2 linked regions of the Kluyveromyces lactis genome follow. The protein of the gene in region 1 purifies or fractionates together with the protein of each later gene. This does not show direct contact. Links are inferred from orthologs where the notes say so. Each region holds a gene or a part of one and is shown on either strand. Other genes may lie near its edges.

What was found. The genes of interacting proteins can lie anywhere in the genome.
Region 2: the proteins of PAB1 (region 1) and CDC33 purify together in Saccharomyces cerevisiae (affinity purification with western blotting; 7 studies listed by BioGRID, with this or other methods). This does not show direct contact. The link is inferred for Kluyveromyces lactis from reciprocal best matches to the Saccharomyces cerevisiae genes PAB1 and CDC33.

The regions. Positions count from the first base shown.
Region 1 is NC_006039.1:1,549,241-1,557,230, forward strand, and holds PAB1 (polyadenylate-binding protein), read left to right. Parts: upstream 1-4,081; coding exon 4,082-5,860; downstream 5,861-7,990. Other genes in the region: chromatin-remodeling ATPase CHD1, read left to right, coding at 1-3,227; E2 ubiquitin-conjugating protein UBC13, read left to right, coding at 6,633-6,662, 6,764-7,213; aminophospholipid-translocating P4-type ATPase DNF1, read left to right, coding at 7,898-7,990. UniProt on the Saccharomyces cerevisiae protein: Binds the poly(A) tail of mRNA. Appears to be an important mediator of the multiple roles of the poly(A) tail in mRNA biogenesis, stability and translation.
Region 2 is NC_006041.1:1,874,720-1,881,501, reverse strand, and holds CDC33 (translation initiation factor eIF4E), read right to left. Parts: upstream 3,825-6,782; coding exon 3,192-3,824; downstream 1-3,191. Other genes in the region: VNX1 (calcium/hydrogen antiporter), read left to right, coding at 1-2,765; KLLA0_E20989g (uncharacterized protein), read left to right, coding at 4,420-5,280; RTC1 (Rtc1p), read right to left, coding at 5,310-6,782. UniProt on the Saccharomyces cerevisiae protein: Recognizes and binds the 7-methylguanosine (m7G)-containing mRNA cap during an early step in the initiation of protein synthesis and facilitates ribosome binding by inducing the unwinding of the mRNAs secondary structures.

The DNA of each region.
Region 1 (7,990 bases):
CATGGCAAGAAACTTTTGATAAATGGGCTCCTGGTTTGAACTGTGTTTACTATATGGGTAATCAAGCTTCAAGGGACTTAATTCAAGATTATGAATTTTACACCAACCCACAAGCTAAGGGCAAAAAACATCTCAAATTTAACGTTCTGTTGACAACATATGAGTATATTTTGAAAGATAGGTCAACGTTGGGTTCAATTAAGTGGCAGTTCCTGGCTGTGGATGAAGCTCATCGTTTGAAAAATGCAGAATCATCTCTATATGAATCTCTAAACAGTTTCAAAGTTGCGAACAGATTGTTAATCACCGGTACACCGTTACAAAATAACATTAAAGAATTGGCGGCATTGGTGAATTTCTTAATGCCAGGCAGATTCACTATTGATCAAGAAATCGACTTTGAAAATCAGGACGAACAACAGGAAGAATACATCAGAGATTTGCATAAGAGGTTACAACCCTTTATTCTTCGTCGTTTGAAAAAAGATGTAGAAAAATCCTTGCCCTCGAAAACCGAACGTATCTTAAGAGTGGAACTCTCTGATGTTCAAACGGAGTATTATAAGAACATTCTAACAAAGAATTATTCTGCTTTGACTTCTGGTATTAAGGGCGGCCACGTTTCTCTTCTAAATGTTATGAATGAATTGAAAAAGGCATCAAACCATCCCTATCTTTTTGATAACGCCGAAGAAAGAGTTCTTTCTAAGTTTGGTGATGGTCACAAATCTAGAGAAAACATTTTAAGAGGGTTGATCATGTCCAGTGGTAAGATGGTATTATTGGATAAACTTTTGACACGATTGAAAAAGGATGGTCATCGGGTTCTAATTTTCTCACAAATGGTTAGAATTTTAGATATTCTAGGTGACTATTTATCTATCAAAGGTATAAATTTCCAAAGACTTGACGGTACAGTGCCTTCTGCTCAGCGTAGGATATCTATTGACCATTTCAACGCGGAAGATTCTAACGATTTTGTCTTTTTGCTATCTACCAGAGCCGGTGGTTTAGGTATCAATTTGATGACTGCTGACACTGTCATCATCTTTGACTCTGATTGGAATCCACAGGCGGATTTACAAGCTATGGCAAGAGCTCATAGAATTGGCCAGAAGAATCATGTCATGGTTTATAGATTTGTATCCAAAGATACAGTTGAAGAAGAAGTCTTAGAGCGTGCAAGAAAGAAGATGATTCTAGAATACGCTATTATTTCTCTTGGTGTCACAGATGGTAACAAAATATCATCAACCAAGAAGAATGAACCGAGTGCCGGTGAGCTTTCCGAAATCTTGAAATTCGGTGCTGGTAATATGTTCAAACCAAATGATAATCAACAAAAGTTAGAAGACTTGAATTTGGATGAAGTTTTGAACCATGCAGAGGATCATATCACAACTCCAGAGCTTGGGGAATCGAATTTGGGTGGAGAAGAATTCTTGAGACAGTTTGAAGTTACGGATTATAAAGCTGATGTTGATTGGGATGACATTATCCCCGAAGATGAACTCAAGAAACTAAAGGATGAAGAACAAAGGCGTATCGACGAAGAATATGTCAGAGAACAGTTAGATATAATGAACCGTAAAACTGCTGCCATTGATAAGATTAAGAGATCTGTCAACGGAGAAACGTTTGGGAGTGACTCAGAAGACGAAGGTAACTCCAAATCTAGAAAGAGATCTAAAGCTAACAACTTGGACGCTTTTGGTGAAAGAGAAATCAGAGCATTATACAAGTGTATTCTTCGATTTGGTGATATTGAAAACAAGTTTGAAGAGCTGATTGCCGATGGATCATTACCCGTAAAATCTATTGATAGATATAAAGAGCTTTACCACGAAATGATTACAGAGGCAGAAACTTTGATGAGAGACGAAGAGGCTAAGAGGCATGAAATATTTAGTAAGTTAGAAAAGGATGCAGCCGAATACAGACAGAAAATTAAAAACTTGGAAATTAAGCCTGAAGATGATGCTGGTAAAGAAACTCCTATCACTCTTTTATCTGCTAAAAGAAGAGAGAAAAGAGCCATCCTATTCGAATTCCACGATACTAAAGCACTAAACGCAGACACCCTTGTTAATAGACGCGACAATCTAAAATTCTTATCCAATTTTGTGGAAAGAAACTACAAAGACGACCCGTTACAATTCAAGTTCGTGAATAAGAATCCAAAACCTGTGTCTGCGTGGAATTGCGTATGGGGTAAAGAAGACGATGAGAAGCTGTTAATCGGTATCTATAAGTATGGTTACGGTGCATGGATGCAAATCAGAGATGATCCGTTTTTGGGACTAACTGAAAAACTTTTCTTGAACAATGAAGTTACTCAGAAAGCTGCCACTCCTGCAGCACCTAGTCTCACACCATCTGCTCCAGGGGCATCTGTTGCGGGGTCTTCAACACCTGGTGCTGATGCTGTAAAGACAGAAACTCCTGACACTACGGCAAACACACCAATCGTGACGGCGTCTTCTGAAAACACTAATAAGAAAACAGTGAAGAAAGCTCCCGGTGCTGTGCATCTCGGTAGAAGAGTCGATTACTTATTCACTGTCCTAAGAGACGAAGCTAAGGGTCCCCAAACTGATCCATCTCACCCTGCCGGCTCTTCGTCAACCGGAACCACGACGCCTCAGCAAAACAAACGTAAACCAAAGAAGTCTGCTACTACTGCTGGGAACAGCAATGGGAACGAAAATGCCCATACCGCTGGTACCCCAAGTGACGGCAATAGTGTTAACTTAACCGGCAAGGACTCTACACCAGACAATAGCTCCGAAACAAAGCGTGGCAAGGCCCATCACCATCAACAACCATCATCAAGATCTGGTACGCCTGTCGTCGGATCGAAAAAACAGCAGAGGAAAGGTAAAGACATACCGTTGGCACCAAAAGCCGATATCCGTCTTCCTGACAAAGAATACGACAGTATGGACGAAGAAGAGTGTAAGAAAACGATGACAAACGTCCGTAGCTCACTCAAACGTCTAAGATCTGGAGGAGACGGTCTTGAACGTAAGCAATGGGCTAACCTATTGAAGAAGGAATTGAAACGTGTTGGTGACTACATCGAATCGCACAAGAAGGACTCGTCTAAGACCTCTCCAGAAAAATATAAAAGACATTTATGGTCTTTCACTGCATATTACTGGCCAAGAGATGTCCCATCTTCCAAACTCCTGGCGATGTACGACAAAATCAAAGCCTCTGAACATTAATTAGTCAAATGTAACAAAACATAGAGATATATACGCCTATCAATTTACGAAAAAAAAAAAGATATCTAATCAACAACATATTGCTATTAGTTATTATTACCTTCATAAATGACATGAGGCACAAGGGCGCACCAGAAACAGCCGGCTGCTAGTAAAATACCTGGTTTGTTGTGGTGATGCCTCAGATCATTTCGCACGTACCTACCTTTCCTTTTGTGGAAAAGCTTTAAACTCTTTTTCAACTCTTTAAATTTTTCAATGAAAATTTTCACTTTTTGGCTAACTCATCACAACAATTAAGGACTGTTCTCACAGAGATGGATGAATTATATAACGATTTTAAATAAGTTCTTGTGATGTTGTTTCATTTATTTAATTTGTTATAAGTTTTTAGTTATCTTGGTTAGTTTATACTGTTTCGTTTGTTACTTATTTGTATTACCTTTCTGGTTCAGTTATTGTAACATTTTATTTTGTGCAATTTGTTTGTTTAAAAAGACCACGGTCAAAGTCAGCAAACTCTCTAAAGGTATCATCTGTATCCTGTATTTTAATTGTTTTTGGTAAAAGAAAAGAATAAGCGTGGTTTATATCTTTTTAATATTAGTCAAAACATTCCAGTTAGAAGTCTTTTTGAATTCAAGTTAACTAAGGGTTTTTCATTTCCATCCATCGTTAAATCAAAACTTAATAGTTTCATCAAAGGTTCGCAACTGTGTGGGTATTAAACAAAACAATACACTAAAATACACATTAAAAAACCATAAAAAAACATATATTTTAAAAACACATTACAAAACCAACCAACCGCCATCTTTTTCGGTTAAATTTATCTCATCTCATCTCATCTCATAATGTCTGATATTACTGAAAAAACTGCTGAGCAATTGGAAAACTTGCAGATCAACGATGATCAGCAACCAGCTCAATCTGCCAGTGCTCCATCCACTTCTGCTTCTGAAAGCGAAGCTTCTTCTGTTTCTAAGGTTGAAAACAACAACGCTTCATTGTACGTTGGTGAATTGGATCCAAACATTACTGAAGCATTGTTGTACGATGTGTTTTCACCATTGGGTCCAATTTCCTCGATCCGTGTTTGTCGTGATGCCGTCACCAAGGCTTCGTTAGGTTACGCTTACGTTAACTATACTGATTACGAAGCTGGTAAGAAAGCTATTCAAGAATTGAACTATGCTGAAATCAACGGTAGACCATGTAGAATTATGTGGTCCGAACGTGACCCAGCTATCAGAAAGAAGGGTTCTGGTAACATTTTCATCAAGAACTTGCACCCAGCCATTGACAACAAGGCTTTGCATGAAACTTTCTCCACTTTCGGTGAAGTCTTGTCTTGTAAAGTTGCTTTAGATGAGAATGGAAACTCTAGAGGCTTCGGTTTCGTTCATTTCAAGGAAGAATCCGATGCTAAGGATGCTATTGAAGCCGTCAACGGTATGTTGATGAACGGTTTGGAAGTTTACGTTGCCATGCACGTTCCAAAGAAGGACCGTATCTCCAAGTTGGAAGAAGCCAAGGCTAACTTCACCAACATTTACGTCAAGAACATTGACGTTGAAACCACTGACGAAGAGTTCGAACAGTTGTTCTCCCAATACGGTGAAATTGTCTCTGCTGCTTTGGAAAAGGATGCTGAGGGTAAGCCAAAGGGTTTCGGTTTCGTTAACTTTGTTGACCACAACGCCGCTGCCAAGGCCGTTGAAGAGTTGAACGGTAAGGAATTCAAGTCTCAAGCTTTGTACGTTGGCAGAGCTCAAAAGAAGTACGAACGTGCTGAAGAATTGAAGAAACAATACGAACAATACCGTTTGGAAAAATTGGCTAAGTTCCAAGGTGTTAACTTGTTCATCAAGAACTTGGACGATTCCATCGATGACGAAAAATTGAAGGAAGAATTCGCCCCATACGGTACCATCACCTCTGCTAGAGTCATGAGAGACCAAGAGGGTAACTCTAAGGGTTTCGGTTTCGTTTGTTTCTCTTCTCCAGAAGAAGCTACCAAGGCTATGACCGAAAAGAACCAACAAATTGTTGCCGGTAAGCCATTGTACGTTGCCATTGCTCAAAGAAAGGATGTCAGAAGATCCCAATTGGCTCAACAAATTCAAGCCAGAAACCAAATCAGATTCCAACAACAGCAACAACAACAAGCTGCTGCCGCTGCTGCTGGTATGCCAGGCCAATACATGCCACAAATGTTCTATGGTGTTATGGCCCCAAGAGGTTTCCCAGGTCCAAACCCAGGTATGAACGGCCCAATGGGTGCCGGTATTCCAAAGAACGGTATGGTCCCACCACCACAACAATTTGCTGGTAGACCAAACGGTCCAATGTACCAAGGTATGCCACCTCAAAACCAATTCCCAAGACACCAACAACAACACTACATCCAACAACAAAAGCAAAGACAAGCCTTGGGTGAACAATTGTACAAGAAGGTCAGTGCCAAGATTGACGACGAAAACGCCGCTGGTAAGATCACCGGTATGATCTTGGATCTACCACCACAGCAAGTCATCCAATTGTTGGACAACGACGAACAATTTGAACAGCAATTCCAAGAAGCCTTAGCTGCTTACGAAAACTTCAAGAAGGAACAAGAAGCTCAAGCTTAAACTTGATTTTTTGACCTTGATCTTCATCTTGTCCTTTCTATATCTTTCCCCCGAAGAAAAAGAAAAATTAAAAAAAAAAACGAACAGCTAACTATATGAATAGTCTCAGCTTCACGCATTGGAACTGGGTGGTGCTAATTAGCTTACGCATTGTTATAGACCTAAACTAGTCGAAATAAACTACTTTCTGCCACTCTTCTTTTTCTCTCGCTTTTTTTTTTTTTGTTCATCACAGGCTTTCCATTGTTGCCAAAAATGTTGTGCTTTTAATCTTTACCAATAAAAAAAATTACCACGCTCCACATATACCATATTACCACAATCCATCACATCACTCTACCCTTTCTCCATACCGCTAATTCAATCCGGAGGTATGCCCCATTTTTCTCTTCAAATTTTTTCTTACTGATTTTTTCTATCTAACTATTATTGTTACTCTACCCGTTTTATATAATACTAAAGCTCTAATGGGAGGACATTAGTAGTCTTTTTAATGAAGAGGTTTTTCGCATTTTCAAAAGGTTTTTTTATCAGTCTTTATATACCTTTCTCTGACAGTCATCAACATGGACGGTATACTGTCCTGTGATGATGATGATGATGATGATGAAGTATCACGTGACTTCGCATTGTCTTTTTCGATATCGAATAGTTTCATATTAAAGGTCTTGAAGGCATTTAAGGCACTAAAAGCTTTAACCCTTTTTAAAATCAGGATCTATTCCTGATTTTCTACGGCGGATCGAGTACCGATCACCCAGTTCAAAGTACAATGGCAGCATTACCCAAGAGAATTATCAAAGTATGTTGAAAATTTTTGGAAACTTACACGTTCTTTTCTATCTGAGTATTAATTAATAGCGTTATAACTAACCAAGAAAAAAAAAAATATCATTTACACAGGAAACTGAAAGGTTAGTGAGCGATCCGGTCCCCGGAATCACTGCAGAACCACATGAGGATAATTTACGTTATTTCCAAGTGACGATAGAGGGTCCGCAGCAAAGTCCCTATGAAAATGGGGTCTTCCAACTAGAATTGTTCCTACCGGATGATTATCCAATGGAAGCACCAAAGGTAAGGTTTTTGACAAAAATATACCATCCCAATATCGATCGGTTAGGTAGAATATGTCTCGATGTTTTGAAAAATAATTGGTCACCTGCCCTTCAAATCAGAACAGTACTTTTGTCCGTGCAAGCCTTGCTTGCATCTCCGAATCCGAATGATCCGTTAGCTAATGACGTCGCTGAGGAATGGATCAAGCATGAAGATACCGCAATTGCAAAGGCAAAAGAATGGACCAAACTTTACGCCAAACCTACTCAGGATGAGGAACCAGCAAAAGAATAACTCGAATTTGCAAATGATCTTAGCTAAATTCTAACTCACACATACCATATATTTATATACATGAACGTATATATTCACTAAACTAGAGGATTAGCTGGAAACAGAATGTTAAACCCACTGACATATACAATCAAAAGGCTTTTTGTGTGGTGTAACTGCCTTCGTTTTCTTGTGTCAAGTGTTCCTGTTTCTCCATTAATCATCTAGAAACGGCTTTCTCGGAAATACTTGACATTATAGGAAAGGTTTTCAAATTAAAAAGGCTTTTCGAAATTTTGAACAAAACATGTTCTCCATTTCTGAACCACATTGAAGTTTAATTCTTGAGAGTATATTAGTACAGGACACTCAGCTGTAGTCCATTGCTGCTGACATCCGGTACTAATAACTCAGATTTCGATTGTCTTTCAATACTGTACGATTACGCACTTTTAATTTGAGCGGTTTTTTGAGTGCATCTTTCTGTCTCGACTCTCTCTATTTGAGTATATATCAGAACATTATATTTCACAGGTTAATACTGGGTTAGAAAAGGGTGAACAACATCGAAGTTAATACATCTGTAATACGTGCTCTTGCCAGAATCATACCAGTGCAAATTTGTGTCTAGTTGAGTGATTTTTCTTGGCTGGAAAGGAGTATTGTTTCGTGGTTTGTGTGCTTTGAGGAAGTAGAACATCAGGAATGACTGGACCAAAGAAAAAGGGAAAGGACTCTGATCCTTATTCTGGAAGTTTTAAGGATGATAGTTCGCCAGATTCACCATTTAATGATAGG
Region 2 (6,782 bases), on another chromosome or scaffold:
ACAGAATTGGTTCGCGTTTCAGTGTTAGTGAAGACAATGATAGGATAATAGTTCATGATGGAGACAGACATCTGGTTTTGCAAGAGGAGCAAAGAAAAAATGGTGATACTTATGATGGCGATGAGGATGCAAGAGATGGATCGAATAGTGGAAATACCCATGATGGAAATAAGCATGCTATTACCGCTGCATCTCATAATAACGAACCGAATAGCAGTAAAAAAAAGAATAAAAATGATATCGAAAATGACTATGACGAGAATCCATTGGACACTTTGATTATTGATGACGACAGTGAAAGTTCTAATATTCAGGATATCGAAACAGGAAGCATTAGCTCTGTTGAATCGTATACGTTACGAGAAAGACAAGAAGCGATTAATAAAACACATCCGTTTGGTATTAGGATATGGAAACCGGCTCTTTATAAGAAGAAAAGATCAGTGCAGCAAGCTGCAGATGAGGATATCCATGAAACAAAAATCAGAAACATTACCCTTGGTGTTCAAATCACTAATTTAATATGGTCTTTCACTGTTGGTCTGTTTTTATTTTTGATTTTCACAATGGCTTCATGTTTAGTATTGATCTTTGGAGGATTCACTGGATCTGCGATCGAGTATTCTTTAGTGTTTTATCGGTTGGGACGCTATTTACTCTGGCCATTCGGAAAGATTGTATTGATGAAATCAGATGCGCAATATCTTGTAGAAGATCAGGACGAAGGTATCAGTGCCCAGCAATTCTACAAATGGATTACCAATTATAGCAATCGGTTATTTTTTCATGAATCACAAGCTATCAATGATAATAATGCCAGCACAAATAATTCGAATAACTTTTCTTCCAGCCAAAACGCCAGGGCCAACATTAGTAATAATGACACATCCACTCGCAATAACAGCAATAACATAATCACGGCAAGAAACAACATTAATAACCATAGACAAGATTCGTATGGATCAATACCTATAATTACAGAGAGAACTGACACAAACGACGATCAAAGTGACGAAGAAAACGGACATTTACATCGTCGTCTATTTGGGCGTGGTAAATGGACAATTGGCAGATTCATTTTTTATTTCATGTTCCACATTGTCGTTCAACCAGTTGTGATGTTGCTGTCCCTAACAACTTGGTTGTTTGTATTCACTATTCCAATGAGTAATATCTTGTGGAATTTAATGTATCATTGCAGAAAACATCCTTTGGCTTTGAGAATCATTGACGTAAAAAGTGCTACGTCAGCAGTGGCAACCACTCCAATCGAAGATATCAAAGGCCAAAATGTCTTATTATGCACCTTCCGTTGCGCTGGGTTACACTACTATAAATTCACAGTGGATGGTACTAACGTTATGGTCATGAACTTGATTGCCTTGGTTATATTCACCATATTCGACTTTTATGCAATTAAAAATATCTGGCAAATCGACACTTGGCTAACTGATGGATCTACTATTTTCATGTTGTGTTTATTGTCTATTATACCTTTGGCATTTTACATCGGACAAGCAGTTGCTTCTATTTCAGCTCAGAGTTCGATGGGTGTGGCAGCTGTAATTAATGCGTTTTTCTCCACCATTGTCGAGATTTTCTTATACTGTGTCGCACTTCAACAAGAGAAAGGTCTACTAGTGGAAGGTTCATTGATTGGATCTATTCTAGCTGCCGTTCTATTATTACCTGGTATGTCCATGTGTGGTGGCGCTTTCAAAAGAAAAACTCAGCGTTATAACCCCGCCAGTGCCGGTGTTTCTTGCGCGATGTTAATTTTCTCGATGGTAGTTATGTTTATTCCATCAGTGTTGTATGAAATATATGGTGAGTGGGATTTACTTTGCAATGAAAATGGAGAGAAATGTCATTTTGTACAGCCTCAATTAAAGTTTGACAAAATGTACTCTGCTATCCTTAGACCCATTGTACTATTCTGTACGGTTGCATTGTTCCTTCAATATATTATCGGTATGTGGTTCACATTAAGAACGCACGCTAAACTGATTTGGGAATTACCGATTGCTGAAACGAAAGATGTGAACAATGATCAAAGTCAGCTGACTACTAGCATGTCTATGAGCCAAAATTCCTTTGCTCCATTAAATAAAACCAATTCCAATATTCTTGGTGTCACAAGTAGCACATCTGGAGCAAATAATGCAGCGAAAGCGACCAATAATTGTGATCAAAGTAGTGGCCACGACGCACCAAATTGGTCTAAAACGAAATCAACATGTATTCTATTAGGCGCAACTTTCTTGTATGCCATTATTGCAGAAATATTAGTAGATTGCGTGGATCAGGTCCTCGAACAATATCCAGCTGTGAATCCAAAATTTTTGGGATTGACCATTTTTGCTCTTGTTCCTAATACCACAGAATTTTTAAATGCTATTTCTTTCGCAGTCAATGGTAATGTTGCACTTTCAATGGAAATCGGTAGTGCTTATGCATTGCAAGTATGCTTGTTACAAATTCCAGCCTTAGTCATATTCTCTATGCTATACGTTTGGGGTAAAGATTTGACTCAAATTAGCATTAGAGATAGAATGTTCCCGATGGTGTTTCCCAGATGGGATTTACTTGCATCAGTAGTGTCAGTGTTTCTATTCACTTACTTATATGCAGAGGGGAAATCGAATTATTTCAAAGGAAGCATTTTAATATTATTATACCTGGTTGTCATTTTCGGGTTCTATTTGCAAGAAATAATAGATGATGATTTCTGGGATATATCTCTTTTCGTTAGATTCATAAACTAAACTGACAGAATGAAATGTGGAGATACTAATCCACTGATAATTACACAGGAGAGGACTTTAAATAAAGAATAAACAGACACGTTAATTATTTATACATATCATTTAAAAAAGAGTTTACGAATAATAGTCGAAGGAATTATGATTAGCAGGACACGAAATGGATGTCGAAAGAGTGAAATCCAACCATTTTAAAATACCAAAAGTGTGCTGTCACAAACCGAGATTGTGATGCACCATAAAGATTCCCTTTATACGCTTTTTTTCCCTTTGGGTATGTGGTCAAGGTAAATTGAGATGATTCACAGCGATCAGATGAGGCCTGTCCAAAACAGATTTCTAACTATACTCATAATCCCTTGCATCGACAGTGTTTGGTAAATGTTGATTTAATTTATTGAGTGTTGAAATGAGGAGGGATGTGCTAATTTACAATAGAGCGGTTGGAGGAGCGTGACCTGAGTTAGAAGTTCTGTGATTGTAGAACTCCAACTTTTCACCTTCACCAAGTTGTAGAACTTGCTTAAACTTGGTAGCAATGTTAGTCAAAGCGTTCAAGTTGGTAGTTCTAGTCCACAAAGCAATCTTGAAAACAGCCTTTCTGACATTCAAGACGCAACCGTTGATTTCTGATTCTTCTTCGTCGATGGTTTCACCAATAACGGCCAATAGAGTTCTCAACCACAAATCATCGATGTTATGTCTTTTGTTCTTGAATTGGTACGACAACTTACCACCTTCAGAGTTGGCTTCATCTTCCCATTCAGGTCTGATATCGTTTCTGAACAAATGGTAATCAGATTTGATTGGCAAATCGAATGGCTTTGGAATACCATTTTGAATAGCCCAGAACTCTTCGACAGTATCCAAACTGGTCACTGGACGCAATAAATCAGACCACGATTCTGAACTATCCACAGGGGGCTTAGTATACCATAAAGTCCATTTGCTACTCAAAGGATGCTTCAATTGAAATTCCTTAGGATCAGATAAAACAGTAGCTGGCTTGGCTTCGTCCACAGTTAAATCCTGGGTCTTTTGAGTAACTTCTTCAACGGACATGATATTCTTCTTTGGTCGTAAGATCGATGTCTTTCAGGTTCAAAATTGATCAGGTAACCTCTGGTCTTATACAGATACATTTACGAGTAAAAAACACTCGAAAAATCTTAAACATGCGCAGAGAGTCAATCCAATCTTTGATATCACATTCGTTAATCCAACTTCATTTTTTCTTCCATTTGCCAACTTCCCATAGTTAACAAAATTGAAAACCTTCGCAGCTGCTGCCTGTACTATGCTGTCACTGCTACAAATTTTTTTTTTTCTTTCTTCTAAGAGAGGGTAATGACGTTACGACTTGTCCGGGTAAAACATGAATCAGTTGTCAATACACGTGATTATATTCAAAGGACGGGTAATATTGAGTTTTCTGGAGTTTTTCATGCTCTCGAAGCATGCGAATTGAAATACAAACCGTAGCTGGCTTGTTTTAGCAGGATATCGGTATTATGTAAATTAAAGGGAGTTTAATTATGACAAGCACCTCATTAACGTAGCTGCTGTCACTATATCCATCGAATAGAAAGTTTATTGATCAAGGTGATAGTTTGTCGTAACATATTTCTTTTTGCCAAAGCGACATTTTCCTTCTAGTATGCATTTATACAAAATTGGGAAAATGGTACTCGGAAGCGCAGCTGTCATTGTTTCTGCTTCACTGGGCGCTCTATATTTGTACCAAAACAAGCTTATATACCCATCTTGGGCACAAGGTGCTAGAGACCATGTAGATACGCCAGATCAATACGGTTTGCCTTATGAAGATCTCACTTTAACGACTTCGGATGGTGTTCTATTGAAAGCATTTGATATAAGGAATGAAAATTCGACTGCAACCATGCTTGTTCTTTGCCCCAATGCGGGGAATATAGGATATTTCCTGCCCGTTGCTAGGTTTCTCTATAATGAGTTTAATTTGTCCATTTTTTTGTATTCCTATCGTGGATATGGGTTATCAACAGGGTTCCCATCGGAGAGAGGATTGAAGATAGACGCAGATACCGTCATGGACCATTTGACAAACAGTGAATTTCATAAATCAAGGAAGCTAATACTTTATGGGAGGTCCCTTGGTGGCGCTAATGCCATTTATCTTGCTAGAAAATTTACCGATATCTGCGATGCCATTATCCTAGAAAATACTTTCCTGTCCATTCGCAAAGTTATCCCATACGTTTTCCCAATGCTGAAGAATGTGGCATTCATGTGTCATGAAGTCTGGGATTCTGAACAGGAAATTGTCAACATACAAGATGATACTTTACCTTTCTTGTTTCTTGCTGGTTTAAGAGATGAGATTGTCCCACCCCCTCATATGAAATTATTGTATAAACTATGTCCCTCGAGCTGCAAAAGATTTATTGAGTTCCCTATCGGTTCCCATAACGACACGATAATACAAGATGGGTATTGGGTTGTCGTTAAAGAGTTCTTACAAAAACATAACTTGATATAGAAAAGATCCGAATTAACAGGAAATTGACTTCAGAATAAGATTGCTGGGCATCCCAATGGGCATACATCCATGTTTTCGTCAAAAAACCATTTTTTCAAACACTCGAAGTGACCCTCATGCCCACAGTTAAGCATAGAAATAGCCAAGCTCTTCATTGGTTTATTGCAGAAGCAACAGAGAGTATTGCGCTTAGAACATGAATCGCAGTACCAGTATCCAAACCTGGACATAGCACTTGAATTTCCTTCAAGTCTTTCTTTGATTATTTTCTCCTTGGAAGATTCGTTAACTAAAGGTTTATTGCATTTATCACAGAATAACTGAATGGAGGAAAAGCCAGCACTTGAACTAGAAATATCCTCGTAAGGACAGTTTTTCATCAACTCCGCTGCAATCTCAAATAGCTCGTACCGGTGCAATAATTCGGTAAATTCCGCTATAGAATTCTTAACTGTCTCTGTATCAACAAGTTGAAACATATCTTGAAATAATAACAAAATTGCCATCGTTAGTAGGATATTTCCTGAAGCAACACTCTGTTCGTATAATTGATGAATTAATCGCCTTGATGACCAAGGTGGGGTAATAGTATTTTCCAGTTTTTTAGTTTCATTCATAAGAGCAGTAATACCAGACATTTGAGTTGTAGTTTTTGCAACGCTCCCGTTCCATGATTTTTGAGTAGCAAATTCAGATTCCAATATATCTGATACTTCAGTTGCGCTTTTCAATTTATTATGATTCGCGTTTTGCGATTTCTTGCTATTCAAAAATGTGGCAGCCGAAGAGCTAAAGCTTGGCATGGAAGATTTTTTGCTACCAGTACTTTCCCTATCAGCATCAACATTTGACGATCCTGGAGAACGTAATTGTGACATGAAGGAGTCTATAAAAGATGTCCGCGGCCGACGTGGCTGGTGATGGTTTTCCGGATTTGAAGGAATTTCGCTTTGTGAGGAAACATGAGAAGGACTCGGCATGAGAGCGCTAGGCCCTGATTCCCTTCTTGGGATATTAATGAATTGTTTATTGTTTTCATCTTCTTCGAACGCCCTTTTTGTAAGTTCCTCTCTTTCTTCTCCTTCTTCCTCTTCATCAATTGCTAGTTCTGCTCTATCTCCATGAGATTGACGCAGCTTTCTAATTTCGATGATATCGTTCTGTAACGAATTTTGAATCGAGTCAGCCCTCGATATAGTCGTAGTTTCTTTTGAACCTTGAAGTTGAGCCTTTAAATGTGATACTGGAGGAGTTTGGGTTAGATGAGTGGGTTCGTTGAAAGAATGTCTATTATTTGTATTTACCGAGGAGCTCAGATCCGTAGCACTATATGAACTGTAGCCACTAGCAACAGATGCTTGCCTTGCCTCTTTCAAGCTAGTAAAACTGTCATTTTTTTTCCAAGGTTGGTCAATGGACGATTGATCGTTGACTTCTTGGTCAGCTGTCACGTCAACAGCCATTGACTCGGTTAGGACTTTCAAGTCCCATAATAATGAATC